Oryzias latipes: one gene and its partners. The protein of the gene in region 1 purifies or fractionates together with the protein of each later gene. This does not show direct contact. Links are inferred from orthologs where the notes say so. Each region holds a gene or a part of one and is shown on either strand. Other genes may lie near its edges. The genes, in order: tsen2, tsen15 and clp1.

What was found.
Region 2: the proteins of tsen2 (region 1) and tsen15 purify together in Homo sapiens (affinity purification with mass spectrometry; 4 studies listed by BioGRID and IntAct, counting the BioPlex papers as one, with this or other methods). This does not show direct contact. The link is inferred for Oryzias latipes from reciprocal best matches to the Homo sapiens genes TSEN2 and TSEN15.
Region 3: the proteins of tsen2 (region 1) and clp1 purify together in Homo sapiens (affinity purification with mass spectrometry; 3 studies listed by BioGRID and IntAct, counting the BioPlex papers as one, with this or other methods). This does not show direct contact. The link is inferred for Oryzias latipes from reciprocal best matches to the Homo sapiens genes TSEN2 and CLP1.

What each region holds. Positions count from the first base shown.
Region 1 is NC_019863.2:19,268,409-19,274,480, reverse strand, and holds the start of tsen2 (tRNA-splicing endonuclease subunit Sen2), read right to left. Parts: upstream 3,743-6,072; 5' UTR 3,571-3,742; coding exon 3,400-3,570; intron 2,834-3,399; coding exon 2,767-2,833; intron 2,676-2,766; coding exon 2,636-2,675; intron 2,569-2,635; coding exon 2,341-2,568; intron 1,486-2,340; coding exon 1,356-1,485; intron 1,285-1,355; coding exon 1,210-1,284; intron 1,133-1,209; coding exon 1,082-1,132; intron 997-1,081; coding exon 852-996; intron 745-851; coding exon 708-744; intron 629-707; coding exon 517-628; intron 450-516; coding exon 360-449; intron 160-359; coding exon 100-159; 3' UTR 1-99. Other genes in the region: mkrn2os (MKRN2 opposite strand protein), read right to left, coding at 5,458-5,680, 5,750-5,918, 6,054-6,072.
Region 2 is NC_019875.2:13,672,911-13,679,008, forward strand, and holds the start of tsen15 (tRNA-splicing endonuclease subunit Sen15), read right to left. Parts: upstream 3,527-6,098; 5' UTR 3,409-3,526; coding exon 3,349-3,408; intron 3,268-3,348; coding exon 3,186-3,267; intron 2,580-3,185; coding exon 2,444-2,579; intron 2,363-2,443; coding exon 2,159-2,362; intron 936-2,158; exon of another isoform or gene 1-935. UniProt on the Homo sapiens protein: Non-catalytic subunit of the tRNA-splicing endonuclease complex, a complex responsible for identification and cleavage of the splice sites in pre-tRNA. It cleaves pre-tRNA at the 5' and 3' splice sites to release the intron.
Region 3 is NC_019868.2:14,102,554-14,108,834, reverse strand, and holds clp1 (polyribonucleotide 5'-hydroxyl-kinase Clp1), read left to right. Parts: upstream 1-2,013; 5' UTR 2,014-2,103; intron 2,104-2,111; exon of another isoform or gene 2,112-2,204; intron 2,205-2,403; 5' UTR 2,404-2,405; coding exon 2,406-2,678; intron 2,679-2,771; coding exon 2,772-2,879; intron 2,880-2,971; coding exon 2,972-3,091; intron 3,092-3,752; coding exon 3,753-3,890; intron 3,891-3,992; coding exon 3,993-4,679; 3' UTR 4,680-4,823; downstream 4,824-6,281. UniProt on the Homo sapiens protein: Polynucleotide kinase that can phosphorylate the 5'-hydroxyl groups of double-stranded RNA (dsRNA), single-stranded RNA (ssRNA), double-stranded DNA (dsDNA) and double-stranded DNA:RNA hybrids. dsRNA is phosphorylated more efficiently than dsDNA, and the RNA component of a DNA:RNA hybrid is phosphorylated more efficiently than the DNA component.

The DNA of each region.
Region 1 (6,072 bases):
AGGCATATTCTATATACTCCACACACGAGAAAGTTCATGAGCTCAATATGATCCACGTCCCTGATTGGCTCCAAACTGTTCTTTGCGAATTCATTTGAATCAGTCGTCATCTTGCTCGGCTCGCTCCTTGGAGGAAACCCACCTGCTAATGATGACTTCCTGTAGAGACAAAATGTAGAAGATCATGCTCACTGATATGGTGTGCTGGGCTCCAGTTTTATTTCTGGAGCCCAAGGAGACAAACAGAAAGCTGTGAAATCTACAAACCAACTAGACCCAGATGGGGAGGGATGAGGAACAGCAGATAGCTAAAACTAGAAAACTGGCAGCAACGCTGAACAAACATCACAGCTCCACACCTGAACCTTCAGCTTGCTCAGGCAAACAGGTGAATCAAGCTCCTCCTTCAGTAGCTCACCAGGATACACGATGTAACACAGCATCAGCTCCTGTGAGATAAAAACCAATCAGAGGGACATGGCAGGCCAAGTGTACCTCCTCCCGATGAATCTGTACCTTGGAGACACTGGCGGTAATTCTGCTAAGGGCAGCAAAAGAACGCCATGAAAACGGACGCAGAGTTGAGCCCCTGAACTCATCATCAGTTTGTTCTACAACCACAGAGTAACTACAGGCAGAGGACAGGCATGATTAGACACTCATAAAACCGTGGCTGATCAGAGTAAAGTCACCTGTGTGAGCGTCACCTGGCGTGGTAGAAAGGGGGTCCCTTCCTGTAAAGCACTGCAAAAAAACACATTATAGTTATCAAGCTTCTCTTGTCCCCTCAGTGTGAGGAAAATTCTTTCACAAACACAGGTAAAAGGTCTCAGCTCTGTGTGTGATCTTACTGAAGTCCACACCATATTTGGCCCCGCTGCCTCCTTTGGGGACCCAGCCCCTGCTTCGGAAATGATGATATGCAGCGTAAGAGCTGGTGAAGTCCGGACGTAGAGACCTAAACCTTCGCCACAGCTGAATGACTGACTGTGGCTCCTGACCAACCACAATGCACAACAGGGTTTACTTCTTCATATATAGCAATGCAACAAATATAACAGCCAAAACAATCATAACTCACCTGGTCCAGGTACACAGATAAGCAGCCCAAGCTGTAGACAAGGAAGAAGGCCTGCAGAGTTCAGGGACATAAAGGTGAGAAGGCCACTTAAATGTCCCAACTGTGGATGCAGGTGCCAGGTGGGTTACCTCCTCCAGGCTGAGCTGCAGGTACTCAGTTAGAGACAATGGGCTCCGCTTCACTTCTCTAACCCCACCTTCATTCTGTAGAAACACAAACCTAATTAACAGCTCATCAAACACTTAACAACATGCAGATTCATATAGGGACTTGCCTGGTTCTCAGAGACTACCAGCACAAAACCAGGACCTGGAACCTGAAAGCCAAGATCTGGTTCAGAGTCTTGATCGGAGTCAAAACTGGGTTCAGAGTTCTGGTCAAAGTTTAGGTCCTGTATGTCCGACCTGAGTGTTGAAACAAAACACAGTTAAGTTAACCCCCATGTCTTGTTTCTGAGTTTAAAATATACCAAGAGGTATCAAAATGTTATAGTTCCTTAAATGAACTCTAGAGTTGGGTTTATAAAAGGGGCAGTTTCCAACTCCAGAGTTGTTGTTGTTTCTCTCTCGGCTTTTCCCATCAGGGGTCGCCACAGCGAACGAGTCGCATGGTAAACCTGGCAATGTTTTACGCCGGATGCCCTTCCTGACGCAACCCTCTCAAAGCAACCGGGCTTGGGACCGGCACAGAAGTTGAGAAGGGAAGGTTTCCCACTCCAGAGTAATGAGAGGAAAAGAAAATCCCACTTCACACCAAAATGGGAGTGTATGTACAGGCTGAATACAAAACCTTTTTGTTTTCTATTTCTTTATGAACTCTTCTCGACAGCTTGCTGTTTTGATTTTATTAGTGTTTCACCTTTCAACACTGGAGCTTTAGCTCCGGTGTTTGTTGATTCCCCTTTGAATTACAGTAACTCTTTGACCATTCAGAATGTCAGAATTCCAACAGATTCTGACACTGAAGCTGATTCTTTGCAACACTTTTCAGTAATGAAGTGCTGCATATCAGCACAAAGCTGCTTTTCTCAATAATTCCGTAAACGATTGAAGAGTTAGAATAAGTCAAAGAGCATGTTATTTCCTGTTGTCTGTGACACCTCTGGTTTTAAAGAACTTGTGCCATTTTTGACTGGGAAGAGCATACTCCAGTCAACTTGGCAGACCCATTTCACCTCTATTTTGGTGTTTTGAATTTGGGTGACATCAGAGATTATCTGTCCATTTAGTAAATGTCTATGGATGAAACAAGCACTTCACCTGCATGGTCTCTTGGCCTCAGGCTCCGCCTCAGATTCCCTTCCCAGACTTTTTGTGTTGTCACAAACTCCATCCTCAGTCTTTGCCCCCTCAGCCTCCCTCAGTTCACTCTTCACATCCTCTATCTCCAATTTCTGCGTTAGTTTGTGAAATATTTGATCCACAGCCTCTGCAGACATTCCCTGAGCACACAGACTTGCCTTTGCCCATCCAAGTAGTTCCTCATACCTGTAAAAGACTGAAATGTAAGGCAGGAAGTGATGTCATCAGCCAGACAGAACAAGATGCTGCTAACCTGGCCTGAGAGACAACGGGAAGGTACAAATCTTCGAAATCTGTAAGACAAACAAACCAGCTGACTGCACAGAGCTGTGTGGGTTAGACCAGATCAATGATGATCTCATGCAGGTGCAGGTGTAGACTCACCCTCCCATTTTTCTGAAATGCTGTGATCTGGTCTGGCTCTGGACAAGATGCCTTTTCCAAAATAACCCTGAAAAATCAAACCTAGTTAGATAAAACTGAAGTAAATCTCCTTAGTTTTTACTTGGTTCTTTCCATCACTGCTAGTCCTTGTAGTCAGAGGCATAGAGCAGCAATAGTGTCACCATAGGACCAAGGTGGGAAAGAAGACAATAATGAAAACACAAACTGACATGTTTCTTCCCGTTTTAAGAGCTTTCCATCCAGGAAACTAAAGGGTTTACATTCAGTTTGATTTGATCAGTTTTGATTTATTGATCATTATCATTTGGCATGATGATGAAGTCCTCTCGTTGATTATTTATTATGGTAAAAGAAAGACGGGATGCAATAGATTGTTTTCATCAGAGAAATACAAAATTTACGCCCAGCTTTAACAGTTATCTGAGTCCAGCACATTTAACTGTTGCTGCAGATGCACCTATAATGTATCAGTGCGACGGCATTAAACGAACAAAAATAGTATTCATGTAATTAAGGCATTCTAAACTAAATCCTATAATCTACACTGGATCTTTTCAGTAACATTTTGCAGGATTGCTTTGCTGTCAGTGAGTCGGAACTGGCAACCCTGACCTGGTTGTGTATCTTCCTGACATGGTCGGGGTGGCAGACAAGCACGTGCTGGTTGATGAGCTCAGCCCGGTACACGCACTTCTCCCCGGCACTACGGATGACCGGCAGCGGAGCCTCCAGTTCTTCGTAAACACGCGCGCGCCGCCGGGGAGCGCGGAAGTCGGCCTGCATTGCTGTGGACCCGTTACTAAACGGCTGACCTCTTTGTGGGATTCTGACCTGGAAATTTGTGTACTGTTTTCTGAACCAGAATAAATGTGGGTTTTGCCGTGCACGTGGGTCCTCTCTAATCAAACTGGTCCTTTCGAATTTTTTTCTCTGTAGTTACTCATACTTTTACAAAATTGCTCAAGAGAGCCACCTATTGGCATGGAGGTAAACTACAATCCACCTTTAAAGCGACATACAAACAGTCCATGATTCCCTAAAGTTTGCTTGTCTACAATAATGACTATGAATGAAATTGAAAGGAAACTATACAGGTTTCCTAGTTGGTTTTATTTAGTTTTTACCACAAACTAATTTAAAAACAACAATAAATGCTCCACTGAACATGGGATAAGTGTAATACATCACACCAAACTGAAACAAAAATATTCATTTCCAGAATTTGTCAAAAATGTAAAATTATTACTAGTTCCATCCTCTATGTTACACATTAATAAACCAGCAGAGGTCAGACAATTTTGCACATCCTTCAAGAAAATTTTACTGTGCCTTAATAAATGCCTCATGAAATCTTTTAAATCAGCCATGTGTTTGCTTGAACTTGTATTTTGTCATTTCTGCTCATGTTTGTGTATACATGTCTTTATCTCCTGTGTTGTTTTGTCAGACATAAAAATGAGCAGAAAAATCCTGCTCATTTTCAATAAACCGAAAGGTGAACAACAATACAAGATAAATGTTTAAATATTGTGCAAAATAAAATTAAAAAAACAAGAAAAAACAAAACAAAACAAAAGGCAAAATGATCTTTAGCAACAATAAAACCACTCTGAGGAATCCCTCCACACTTACTGTATCTGCACAGTTCTGATACATGTTTGTTTTGTTATTGCTTCATTGAACGAATAAATAAAACAGACATCCATCAACATTTAGTTTTAAACACCAATAAAAAAGAAACATGTTGGAGAAAAAAAAAAAATCCCAATTATGTTTACGACTTTATGTTTTATGTCGGGGTGTCGTCTCTGCAGATGGAGACAAACTGGGTGAAAATCTTCTGGTTTAAGAAGTGCGTTTTAAAAGAATAAAGTTTATGTACTGAATGGTTTATGAGCCAGTTTTGATTTGTTCTGATCCGTACTGCTGCTGGAAAGCAATATATCATTCAGAACTTGTGTCAGTGTGACCGCTAAGGGTGTATTCAGATTCAAATCCTTTGTTCTTGTTGGGAAAACAGTATAAGAAGCAATGTGTGTCACGTTGAAAAGTGTTTTAATGAGCCTGCATACATCCAACCAAATTTCAATGAGTGCTGTGTCTCATTGTTCTGGTTTCATGGCATAGTTTTAAAGTAAATTCTGTTAAGGAATTACAAGGTATTTTTTATGGTGACGTTACAGCACCGCCGGGTGCATGCCGCGTAACCACACAGAAAAGCATGTAAGACGCATTTTCAGCTGAGTTAAAACAAACGTAACAAGTAAACAGTTGGACTCTTTTTTTCCCTCTTTGATAACATGACAATCATTGCTTCACATTTCTTCGCAGCTCATCGGTTCCTTCATTCCTACTCTGTTTACGTCAGCTATGGGGGCTGTTTTGGTTCAGTTGTTCCGCTCAGAGGACGGATTGTATTCAGACTGAGGAATCCCAGAGCAAACCAAAGCTTGGTCCGATTGGAAATGAACCAAGACCCCCTCCAAAGATGGGTCAGAGAGCGGTGTCTGGTCCTGGACCAGGGTCCACCTGGGTGTATTCAGACTGAAAATTTGTTCCGGATTATCCAGGAATGAAATCTGGTTCACTTAAAACAAACCAAATGTGTCCAGTCTGAATTCACCCTTAGTCTAGTGGGTCTGTTTTCATTGGGTCAAAGGTCAGGCCACTTTAGCTACTGGGTTCTGCTGCCTGCGGTCGGTCCACCATGTAGAACTGGTGTTTCTCGATGTGTTGGACCAGTGTGGTATATTTTGACACCCTCTTCATCCTTGGCAAGATGAAGCAGCGAGTGAAATCCTCTTTGCTCAGGGAGCTGCAACCCTCCACTGTCAGGACGGTATTTAGAAACTGCAGGCAGAAGCTGAAGCAGTTGTGGTCGTCTTCATGGAATCTGGAAGACAAAGGTGGGTAGGGGCTTTGACTGGCATCACCTGTGTTGACTGTGTCACCTGTGAGTTACCTGTGCCACACAGGGTCCCACATGGGTCCCTCTGAGAAGCGCTCCAAGTACTGATCCCACTGAGCCAACAGGTGGAACATGTCTGGTCGGACCAAAGGGATGTTGATGCAGCGCTCCCAGCCTCTCTGTTCTTTCTGCACCCCATTCTGGGTGTAGTTGTACACCACTCCTGCACACAGGTACCCAAAGGTGAGCTGCAGGCATGAGGGACAGCTTCCAAAACAATTTAACTGTGCTCTTGTCTTCACAGCAGCCAGCAGAATTCCAGAGAAGAGAAGTTGGACTCCCCAAAAACAAGTTTTACCTTTTGTATTGGAGATCCC
Region 2 (6,098 bases), on another chromosome or scaffold:
CCACGACACATACTAGTCTGCTTCTGTGCAAACTGTAGGAATTCTGGAGAAGTTTTTTTTAGATTGAAATGAAATATAAAGCACTTTCAGACAACAAAAGTCAGGATTTTATTAACAGAGACAAATATTTTAAAAGATGAGCTTAACTCAAATTTGACTAAACACGGCTTCATCTGCTGATGCCGACTATAGCTTTATCGTACAACAAGGACGCCACATTCAAACCCATTTACAGAGGGGCCTGTAGGCCAAACCTCATCCAAAACAGACTATTTGGAAATTGCAAAGGGCTCTATGGCGAGGGAAAGTTTGTCATGTTTGCTACTAATCACACACGCCACATCCTCCAGGCTGTTAGGGGGGCGGGGGGGAACAAACGTCCTCCTCCAGATGAAGTCTATTTCAGGAAAGGCTTTGTGTATCTCAGCAGGCTGATGTAAACCCACATACCACAGCCATCACAGCAGCATGACGTCAGCCCAGCAGAGTCTAGCTGCTGAAATTGCCCGCCTGCCTGCAGCCACCTTAAGAGGACGTGGTGCATTTAGCGAAACGGAAAACACATTAAGGATGACAGGGGAGCTGGAAAAAACAATCCACAACCAAAAACAGAAACTCCAGAAGCATACCACCGCAATGCTCAAGTTTTCTCAAACTGGTTTGAGGAAAATGAAGATGGCCCTCCATGGTGAACATACCCCCGGCCGAGCCCAGTCTGTGGCAGGACTTGATATCAAAATGAGCTCCTTCAGTGGATACAATTCATATTTGTGCAAAAAGCAATGAAAAGCTTTTTATTAATAGCTTTTGTTTTTCCAAATTCCTACATTTGGACATCTTTCATCCGCCTGTGTCTCATTATTGTAATCTGTTTTAATGTAGATCCGCCTCCGTTTTCTAGAAGAATAAAAGTAGTTTCAGTTTTTGTCCCTCAGGCTGACGCTGTTGTTTTTCCTTCAAACAGAAGTCAGAGTTTTTGAATGATTTTGACTCGTATCCCTTTCAGAAATGTTCTGAAACATGTGCGTTGTTTAGTGAGGCTGTTGAACTGCCCCCACCCAAATATATATATATATATATATAAATATATATATATACACACAAAGCCATTTTGTCTACAGGCATGTATGACTAAATAAAAGCCTTCCTTATATGAGAAAGAGCAGAACAGTTTCTTTCTTGGACACTTTGCACAAGCTTTCTTGATAAACTCTGACAGATGTGCATGTGCAGATTGCACAGCTTTCTACAAACCATGGAGGGGTTTTAACTGACAGAAGCCCAGACTGCAGCAGAACCTTCTCTGCCCCATCCATCATCACTAAGACCTACAGTTTGGTTTTTCTTTGACTGGAAAGCAACGTTTTTGAGGCACTTAGAAAAGATTTAGAACCTTTGGCTCCCTTTTCCCCATCGGTGTTCTGCAATTTAAATACACGATTGAGGCCTTGATGTCCACTCTGAGAATCAAAAAGTTATTTTCTTATCTGCATCCTCATAATTAACAAATACAGAAAGGGAAAACTGAAGGGAAGTGTGCATTTACGGATCACAGCTGGTTTAGATCATTTCTGCCTGAGAGGTTGATCAATGCTGCCAGTCAGGGCTTTGTAAAGCTTTATCTTTTAAGTCTGCAGGTTTCGTTTTCCTTTTTTATGGATACGGTTTTGTTTTCTACTAAAAGAATTAGGGAGACAGTATTCAAGTCAAACAAACTGTTTACTTTTTTTTTTTTTTACATCAGAGTGGAGTTTAATTCCAAACAGCAAAAACGAATCTTCTCATCAGAACCGCAGGCACTGGACTCCAAAAGTTTTGGCTTTCTGCTCATCAGAATCCTGGAAAAACACTGTCATGGCAACAGAAGTGATCGACGTGCTTCACAAACAGGCTGGTGAAGATGCGTTCGCTGACATCGGTAAACGGCAAAATGACTTTGGTTTTTGACTACTCTGAATAAAATAGCAGCTCTGTGGGAGAGAAGTCTGCGGTGTCCATTTTAGGGATCGATGTAGGTCTTTCAGTCCACGGTGGAAATGCTTCCACATATGTACCCCTAGAATGATTCACATTGCTCCAGGATGAACCCATCAGCTCCGTTTCAAAACATACGTTGATGGCAGCCAGTAGCCCGTCAGGTAAAAAACAACTTCTTCACCTTTTACCCCTCATCTTCTCACTGTGCTGCTGGAAGCTGTGCTGTCGCCTCTTGCGATGCTGCCGTCGATCCAAATCCTGAAAGGGGCCCACAGGGGGCTCCGGGGTCACCAGCCCATCCGTCAGCCTCTGATAGACCAGGGTGGAGTCCGATGCCACGGCACACAAAAGTACGGGGAAGCCCCTGTCCAGTACGCTGCAGATGCTGCTCAGGAGACAAACAGCTGCATGTCACAAACCCGTGAGCGACGGTTCAAGTCCCAACTCTCATTTGGTGACTCATCACCTGCTGTGGCTCAAGGACTGATGAGCGGGCAGGGGGAGGACAGTGTGAACCGGGGCCCCATCCTTCTCCTTCCCTTCCAGCAAGATTAATCGCAGCTCCGGACTTTTGACGGACGACACCTCCTTCCAGCGACGCACTATGTGAAACCAAATTCACTTTTTATAGTTTGACACCTTTTACTTTATTTTATTTTATTCAGATTTTAAAAATCTGAATAAAAAAAAGTTTAAATTAAATGAAAATTAACTGAATTTTGATATATTTTGATAAATTACTGTAGTTTTCTTGTTTTTGTTTGGAATGCATTTAAGACACTAATATATTATTATTAATAATCAGAAAAATAATTCAAAAAAGTAACAAAAAAATAAAGTATACACATGTGAAAAAAATCTGAATAAAAAAAAAGGTTTAAATTACATGAAAATTAACTTTTTTTAATCTACAAACATGATTTGGGATTTTTGAACCAATTAGATGTACAACTAAATACAAAATTACTTTTTACAGAAGAAAAATCAGCTTATTTAAAACATTGTAAACATCACAGGGTTTCATTCAAAATTTGAATTGAAGCTACTTAGAAATGTTTGAAGGAATACAAGCAAAATCCACAGTCATTCTAATGCATTTTAAACTTAAATTAAAACTTGTTAATAGCCACTTCTGTACTTTGTTATCTTTGTACGTATTTAAGCTCCCTTTATATTTAATGAAACATATCCAGGCTTCATCACATCACCCTCAGTCAGATCCATGCACACCAGAAAGGCAGCGTGCAGCTGCGCGCTGTCTGCGGGCTCCAGAGCCTCCATCTGCCGGTACTGAAACACAGGCAGGCCGCCGTTAGTTCCGCTCACAGCGAACCTTCACGGTCACGTTACTCCAAGCTCCAGGCCGCTCACCGCAGGGTGCTGCAGGATCCAGTTCGCGGGTGGAGCTTTCTCCACCGGAGGTACTGACATCTTTCAGTGTTTATCCTTTAATACAACTACTTGCGCACTACTATAACCGCACGTTTTCGCTAGGAAGGTTGAGCTTTAATTTTTAATGGGTACTACAATAAATGTCGACCGGATGGGAACACGCTCCTTCCTTTATGTTCCGCACCCCAATGAGGCGTGGAGGACCTTTTTATTTCAATAAACGTTATTATACGTTTTTCAATTTGTAGAAATTCACATTCAGCAGCACGATAAAGAAACAATTGTTAATATCAAAAACACATATAAGACCAAACAACAATAATAGTTTAAGCCCTGTGTGTGTGTGTGTTTTTTCTATAAATGGTCATATACAAACCAAGTTAGGGCGCTCAAACGCAATAAATGCGCATGTAGAAAAACAAAACAAAAAACAGGCAAAGGCAAGGCAAAAAACAATTCAAAATAACAATACTTTTGTTATATTTTGATAAATTACTGGAGTTTTCTTGTTTTTGTTTGGAATGCATTTAAGACACTTCTAATATTCAGAAAAATAATTCAAAAAAATACTAAACAAAGGACATGTATTTTACCATTTCCATAAATTAATGAAATGTTTGCATAGAATAATAACAACATTGATGACATCAGAAATTCCCGGGTCCAGATTTTCCGTACAGAAAAAAACATCAGGTAAGGAAAAAAGAGAATCATTAAAACTTTGTGTAACCAATTGTGAAAATCAGTCCAACATATTTTTATCTGGTTGCAACTGTAAAAGAGATATTCTAACGTTTCAGTTTCAGATGAACAGAACATGCATGGTTCCGATTGAAATTTAAATCTTTTATGTAAAAAATCTCCAACAGGGTAAATTTTAGATATTATTTTAAAATGCGTTTCTTTCATTTTAGGTGGATGTGGGTACTTTGTGTATAAAGAAAAGAGTTACTAATTTATTGTGGCATTTTTTTTATCTTTTAGGGGAATATCATTAATTTTCCGCTCTAAAAATTGTGGTTTGGTTGCATTGTATTGTAGTATGTTATGAATAAGATTGAGTGAAGGTGTGGGAATTGCTTTACAGACTTTGTTATAACAGTTACTAGAATCCTTCATTTTGTATTTAGTTACAAACTCATTGTATGATAACAGCCTTCCATCAGTGCGCATCAAGTCATAGACAAATCACACACCATTATCATACCATTCAGACATAAACAAGGATTTCTTGTTTACAGTTATAAATCTGTTTTTCCATAAAACAGTGTTGTGAGGGAAGAAGTTATGAGTGAAAAGCATCTTCCCAAATTCTAAGGCATGCTTGTAAAAGTTTGATGGTTTCATTGGCATTTTTGATAGATTATAATCGCATTTCAACAAAAACTCCAGTCCCCTGACTTTCTCAAAGAGTTTGTTTGGGATATGATACCACATAGAATGAGGCTGGGAAATACAATCTTTTAACCATTTCATTCTAAACGCTACAATTTGTGATTTAAGGTCTAAAGCTTTTAAGCCGCCATTTTTATAATCTCTGACCAGTTTTGGTTTTCATATATAGTGAGTCTTATTTTTCCAAATAGATTTAAGGAGAATAGAATTAGACAACTTGATGTTTTTTGGGGATGTACATGATGAGTGGCAGGGATACACAAGTCTTGAAAAAACCTCCGCTTTGGATAATAGAATGCGGCCAAATATTGATAAGCCAAGTCCCAACCAATGATTTCATGTTTTCTATATTGTTTTTAGTCTGGGAGTAATATTTACACTTTCTCTATCGTTACTGTTTTTTGTTATTATTAGACCAAAATATTTCACTTCACTTTTTACATGTATGTTTTCAATATTACCTGCATTGCAGGTATGTATAGGTAAAATTTCACATTTCTTTTAGATTTAGGGTAAGGCCAGATGCACTTGAAAAAGAAAGTATTTTATTGAGAACAATAGGTACCATATATTCTAATGAGTCGAAGGCCTTAAAAAATAGGATAAGACTTTCCTGGGGAATAATTTGGTTGTAATCTAATATATCTAAGATTAAGCGAGTGTGGTGATGAGTATTCGCGAAGGCACTAAAGGAACATTCCGCTGCATTTTTCGCATTAAGATGACCTAAAACCGGGTCCTGTTCAAAAACCGCTGGATCTGGACTGCTCAAACCTGGATTAGTCTAAGGTGGACTCTGGGCGCAAAATGCGATAAAAATCAATCTATTTCACATTTTCACAAATCAGAAACTGGGTTTAATGTGTTCTTTACTATCTAATGCATAATTTAATCCAGGTTTGAGCAGTCCAGGTCCAGTGGTTTTTGAACAGGACCTGGCCTGAAGTGGACTCAGTGCGTAAAATGCGATAAAAATCAACCTTTTTGACATTTTCACAAATCAGAGGAAGGTTTCACAAATCAGAAACTGGGTTTAATGTGTTCTTTAGTATCTAATGCAAAATTTAATCCACGTTTGAGCAGTCCAGGTCCAGCGGTTTTTGAACAGGACCCGGTTTTAGGTGATCTTAATGCGAAAAATGCAGCAGAATGTTCCTTTAGTGCCCTCGCGAATCGGAAGCTGTGCATCGGAAGCTAACTTCAGCGTCTTTTGATAACAATTTTTTTTGTCAATGCATTCATTGAATGCCTCAAACATTTCTCTGATGTCATTCCAAAAGTGTTTATTGAACTCAGCTGTAAGTCCATCAGGTCCCGGTGATTTACCACTGTAT
Region 3 (6,281 bases), on another chromosome or scaffold:
TTTAAGTGTAAAAAGGAATTTACCCTATTTTTTCCACAGGTCCATCTGTTAAACTGTTCTTCCCTCTGGCCTGTCATAATGGTTATTAGTCTTTTTATGGGAGTGATACCTGATATATTTCAATTTTACTCCAATAAGTCCAAATTGTAAGATATGGCAGTAGTTAATTTTTTACATCCAGCCATGACAAGTATAAATTAAAGTATGGGTATGCTAATTTTGAACACGGATGAATATATTTCCTTAAAAAGGGTCTGATTCTGCCCAGACACAGTTAAGACCAGGGGCCTCATTTATAAAACTTTGCGTAGGATTTGCGTCAGAAGTGGCGTACGGATGAAACATAGGACGTGCGTACGCACAGAAATATTCGGAGTTATAAAACCGTGCGCACGCACATCCTACGCATCTTTCCCTTAATAAATCACAACCGATTCTAAATGCTGCGCAGCTTTTGCGGCTACATGACACGCCCATAGTTGCCCATAAATAGTCCGTGAAACGCCCACAAATGAATATTCATTGATTGCGAAACCATGCCAAACACGGAGAGAAAATCAAAAAAACGTAACTTCACTCAATGTGAAGTAGAAGTTATCGTTGGCGAGGTGGAAAAGAGGAGAATAATGTTGTTTGGAGGGCACAGTGTGGGCATTACTAATGCCAAAAAGGCACGTGAGTGGCAAACGGCGGCAGACGCCGAAAATGCTGCAGCCTCACAACCTCGGACCGTGCCCGAAATAAAAAAGAAAAGGTCGGACATCAAAGTCGAGGCAAAAAAACGTCTAGCGCTGAACCCCCCCCCCCCCACACACACACACACACCCGTGTCTGCCACGAGTGTGTGTGTGTGTGTGGGGGGGGGGGGGGACACCGGAGCTGACCCCTCCTGATGAGAGACTGGCGGCAATAATTGGGGAATCCCTTTTAAGTGGAGTGGTGACTGAGGCGGAGGGGGACACCCACGCGCCAGATGCACCGGGTGACACACCCCCAAAAGCCCGCAGAGGAAGTCGGAACCGGCTCATAAGCCACTCGTCCTCGTTTGCCAGCAAGTCTCCTTGCTGTCTAAAGATGCGTTCACTCCGAATTCTTCCATTTGCCACATCTTCTAAGAGAGCAAGATCAGCCATTGTGCGTCATTACGCATTGTGATGGGGCATTTTATTTCCCTCCATTTAATTACATCTGACAAGCTACAGATGTCGGGAATAATCGACGTGGAAATGGGAAATTGTTCAGCGCAAATGTAATTTCTTGTTGCTTTCTGAATGGTCGAGACAAACGCCATACATTGTTTCATGAAAAATAAAACAAAATAAAGGCATATGCATGAATACCATAATTCTGTAGCTTATGAAGAAATATTTTACTATGAAAACAACTTTCCCCAGTGGAGAATTAATGCATCTCTCTCTATCTATCCATCTGTCTGTCTGATTGCTCCTATATCTGCTCCGCCAGACGGACACATTGACGGGAATATCAGTTGTGTACATTATTTCGTTCTGTTAACTATATTATTTATATTATTTATGAGGATGAATTGCACAACATGCCAATATTGCAGAACATATTTCACTTTTCTTTTTGCAAATATGTGCTCATTTGAATTTCTGTTGTAATTTTTGTTTGATTTTTTTGTTTGTTTCACTGCTGATCGATCAAACGGGTGTTCGTGTAGGCTGTTAATTGTAAGACTTGCTTTGTGAAGTCTTCATGTTATTTATCAGAGGCAGTATTGTCATTTTCACTTTCACGTGTTTCTTCCATCTGCCGACGGCGTCGCCGTTTCTCATTTCATCCGTTTTTGTGCGTACGCCTGGGTCAGAGCTTGCGTGAAGGACCGCACATTTTCCCGTCAAGTTTGCTTTTTATAAATCTCAACTATTGCGTAGAGAGTGGCGTACGCCTTCTTTTGTGCGTACGCAACGTTTATAAATGAGGCCCCTGGAATCAAAACAGAATCAGTTTATAGAAAAATCACGAAATATAAATCACAACCACGAGGGGGCAGCAATGCAGCGAGCGAGAACGCTGTTCTTTCTTACTATTGGTTGCTAGAGTCTTGACGTCATCATCCTGCGACGAACATCTCACTGGGTACACAATTTTTTGGTTCTGTGCTTAAGCTTTGTATATATCAGTATAAGGACGCGAATTATACAGTTTTGTATTCATTAAGCAAATTTGAAGACATTTAGGTGATCTCTGTTATTATTTATATTTGTTCGACATAAAACCCCACATTTCTTCCTTTCCTGCTAATCATCAGTTAGCTTGCCTTGTCGTGTGTTGTTTGACCATTTATTAATTAATGTTGCATTTACCTTTAACTTAACGATATTGTTGTTTTACATGTTGCACCCTGTTATGATTATATAACACCGTTTCTTTCTACAGCGATGGCAACAGAGTCTGTAGAAAAAACTAGCGACGATGCTCCGGCTAACGGCAAAGATTGCACCCGATTCGACTTGGAGAAGGAGACCGAGCTTCGGTTTGAGGTGGAAGCAGGAGAGGCCGCGGAGCAAGTGGAGCTGGAACTCCTGTCGGGACTGGCTGAAGTGTTCGGTTCAGAACTGAACCGCAACAAGAAGTACGTGTTTGGACCAGGATCCAAAATAGCTGTTTTCACCTGGCAAGGATGCAGTGTGAATCTTCATGGAAAGCCAGAGGTGAGTTTAGGATGAAATAAATAATCAGTCTTTTCTGTCCAGTTCTCCATATTAACTTCGAAACATCACCTATTATTTTTTTTTTAACCTCAGGTGGCCTATGTGTCTAAAGATACTCCCATGCTGCTCTACCTGAACACCCACGCTGCCCTGGAACAGATGAGAAAACAAGCAGAACGGGAAAATGAGAGGGGACCAAGGGTGAGGAGCAGCCAGATGGCTAAAATCCCCCCCTATAAATGTAACTTCTCTGTATATTTTGTATTACAAATACATATTTGCTGGCTTTCCAGGTGATGGTGGTGGGTCCCACAGATGTAGGGAAGTCAACAGTGTGTCGAATGCTTCTCAACTACGCTGTCAGGGTTGGCAGGAGACCAACCCTTGTGGAACTGGATGTTGGACAAAGTGGTGTAAGTACATTTAAAGTTGCACAACTTTAAATGTTTTAACCTCGCTACTATAGTCCAGGGAATGGTGTTAGATAGTATAAGACAAGTTGTGCAGACCTAATCTTTATAGTTTTTAAAGTTTTCCCAATGTAAATGGTTTAAATTAAGAAACAAAGCTTGTTATCACTTGTTAGTTCTGAAAATTAATCGTCTTGTCCTCTGTTATCCATAATGCTAAGTAGTATTTGGTTTCATTTATTCATATAAAAAAACTGCATATTTTCAGTGATAAATCAAAAATGTGTGTTTGAGATATTTGTACATCAATGACTAATTTCAATGTTTTCTAGGCATCATCTTTGAATGTCAAGGAGTTACCAAAACACTAGTCACAATCTTGTTGCTCATTGGTCTTTTTTTTCTTTCTTTCTTTTTTTTTTAGCTATTGTACTTCTAAGATGGTTGAACTGTTACTTGTTGTAACATGTGTTTCTGTATAATGACTTGCTGCAAGTACATTTGTTAGTTTTTTTTTTGTTTCCTGTTACAAAAAGTACATTATTTTATTTGTAGGATGCAGATTATTTGTCTTTGTAAACCTGCAATGTAAATGTTGAACAGTTCAGATTTCATTGTGTAATGAATTTACAGTAAGGTGTGACTAAACTTTGTTCTCTCTTAGGTGTCAGTACCAGGGACGGTGTCAGCGCTGTGCATTGAACGGCCGGCGGATGTGGAGGAGGGCTTCTCTGTCCAGGCTCCTCTGGTCTACCACTTTGGCTCCACCACTCCAGGCACCAACATTAAACTTTATAACAAGGTTAGAAGATTGTAGATATACAGTCATTTTATGTTTGTCATTGGCTGTCATCATTTATGCTGTTATTTTCTACTGCTTTTGTGTTTTTATCACTGTGGTTAGCTGACATCCTGCCTCGCTGAGATGTTTTCCCAGCGCTGTGAGGTAAACAGGAAGGCCAGCGTAGGAGGCTGCATCATCAACACCTGCGGCTGGGTGAAGGGTTCAGGATACCAGGCTTTGGTCCACTGTGCCTCCACCTTTCAGGTGGATGTGGTGCTGGTTTTGGACCACGAAAGGCTCTACAATGAGCTTAAACGCGACCTGCCCCACTTTGTGCGAGTTGTACTTCTGCCCAAGTCTGGGGGGGTGGTGGAGCGCTCCAAAGAGTGCCGGCGGGACACCAGGGATGAAAAGATCCGCGAGTATTTCTATGGATTCCGTGGAGTGTCCTACTACCCCTTTTCCTATGAGGTGCGCTTCTCTGACGTCCGCATTTACAAAATTGGTGCACCGTCTATCCCAGACTCGTGCTTACCTCTAGGGATGTCTCAGGACGATACGCAGCTAAAGCTGGTGCCTGTCACACCAGGGAGAGACCTGACGTACCATGTTCTGAGCGTGAGCAGCGTTGACGACGGAGACGAAGGTGCAAGAAAGAGCATTGTGGAGATTCCTGTGTGTGGTTTTATTGTGGTAACTTTTGTTGACACTCAGACACAGGTGATGAAAGTGTTATCCCCAGCACCCAGACCTCTCCCCAGACACACTCTGCTTATCATGGACATACGCTTTATGGACATGAAGTAATGCAGAACATACTTGAAGTGAGGAGAGATGGGTGCATTTGTTTAAAAGTTTTTGGTGTTTTGTAAAAAACCTCTGTAACAAAGTACCTCAGCAATTTGTTGTAAATGATGACATATTTTTAAACTTTTATGTACAAATGCAAAATCTGTCATGTCATTTTTTTCAGTTCCTTAAATAAAAAAAGTATTCTTTGTTATGGAAAGAAAAAAAGTATCTTTTGTATTTATTTTCGTTTAAAAGAACAAAGATTTAGCATTCATTGTTTAGTGTGTGGTTAATCTGAGTCATTTTTCTATGTTTATCCAGAAATTGTCAAGATTTTCTTAGAAACTGTCATTCCTTTTTTTTTCTTCGTTTACCTTGCGTCAGGTGCAAAATATTAGAAAACGAATCCTTGCAAAACTTCTCCTTTTATGATTAGTTTTCAAAATGTAGACTTAATAGTGCACTAATGTTAAAAAATTCAATTGTAAAAACTACGTAATGTAAGTTTAAAAAATTCTGAATTTTCCAATGGGAGCAACCAGCAACCACCCTTAAATCAAAAATAATGGACATTTTACATTTTAAAGTACTATAACAGACATTTTAGTACCTTTCTGACAGTTTAAAACAAGTAAAAGTGTTTAAATTAGAAGTTTGTCATACTTTTCAGTGAAAAAGTGAATGTCTAAAGTTTTGAAGTATGAATTAAAATAGGTTATGGAATATATTCCTAAATCATCTGTTTGGTGAAAAGGTGGCCTAAATTTCTTAGTGAAATGTCTGCTGGGAAACTTCAGTCCAATAAGTCAATTTTCTCAAGTTTTGTTACGCGAGACTTAATTCCACCACAACTTTTCTCTTCAAACTTGGATATAGTGCAAAAACTCTTACATTTTGCACAAAAACCAAACTTTATATTTACATAACTTCTATGATACTAAAATTAACAATGTAAATCCATTACTTGACGATAAAGAAGAATGGTAGACATATAATCATTTCATAGTTAAAAACACAGTTGTACCTCAAAAAAAGTTAGAGCTGGTTTTACATGAAGTCCACATTGTTGACATTAATTGATATGAAGTGTACAAACCGGTTTATTAGTACTCAGAGAACTGCAAATACTGTAACCAATGTAAACAGAGCCCTTAAGAAAAAGTTAATGGAATACAATCTTTTTATAACCTTATAGGTAGTCAAAGAATTAAAAATTAGATATTATCCAGTAAAGATTATTTTTGTCGATTTTTCCCTGTTTGTTAAAGTAAAAAAAAAAGCTCTTTCTGTCAGTGACATGGAGAACGGCTATAACATCTTTTTGTGGATTATTCTTTTGTCTTTATAATTTGGAAGGATCTACAACATACCTTAGAGCAGGGGTGTCAAACTCATTTTCACTGAGGGCCACTTCAGCATAGTGGTTGTCCTCAAAGGGCCAGATATGACTTATACGTGAAACTAAATGTAATGAAAAATAAATGTAACTACTCCTTAATGTAAAAAAAATCATGACTTATTTATTAGAACTTTTTAAAGTGTCAATTACAGTTCCAAAGAAAACATGTTTGCTTGTTACTCTAGCATTAAATCCTTTTACATTTTGTCCACTTATTG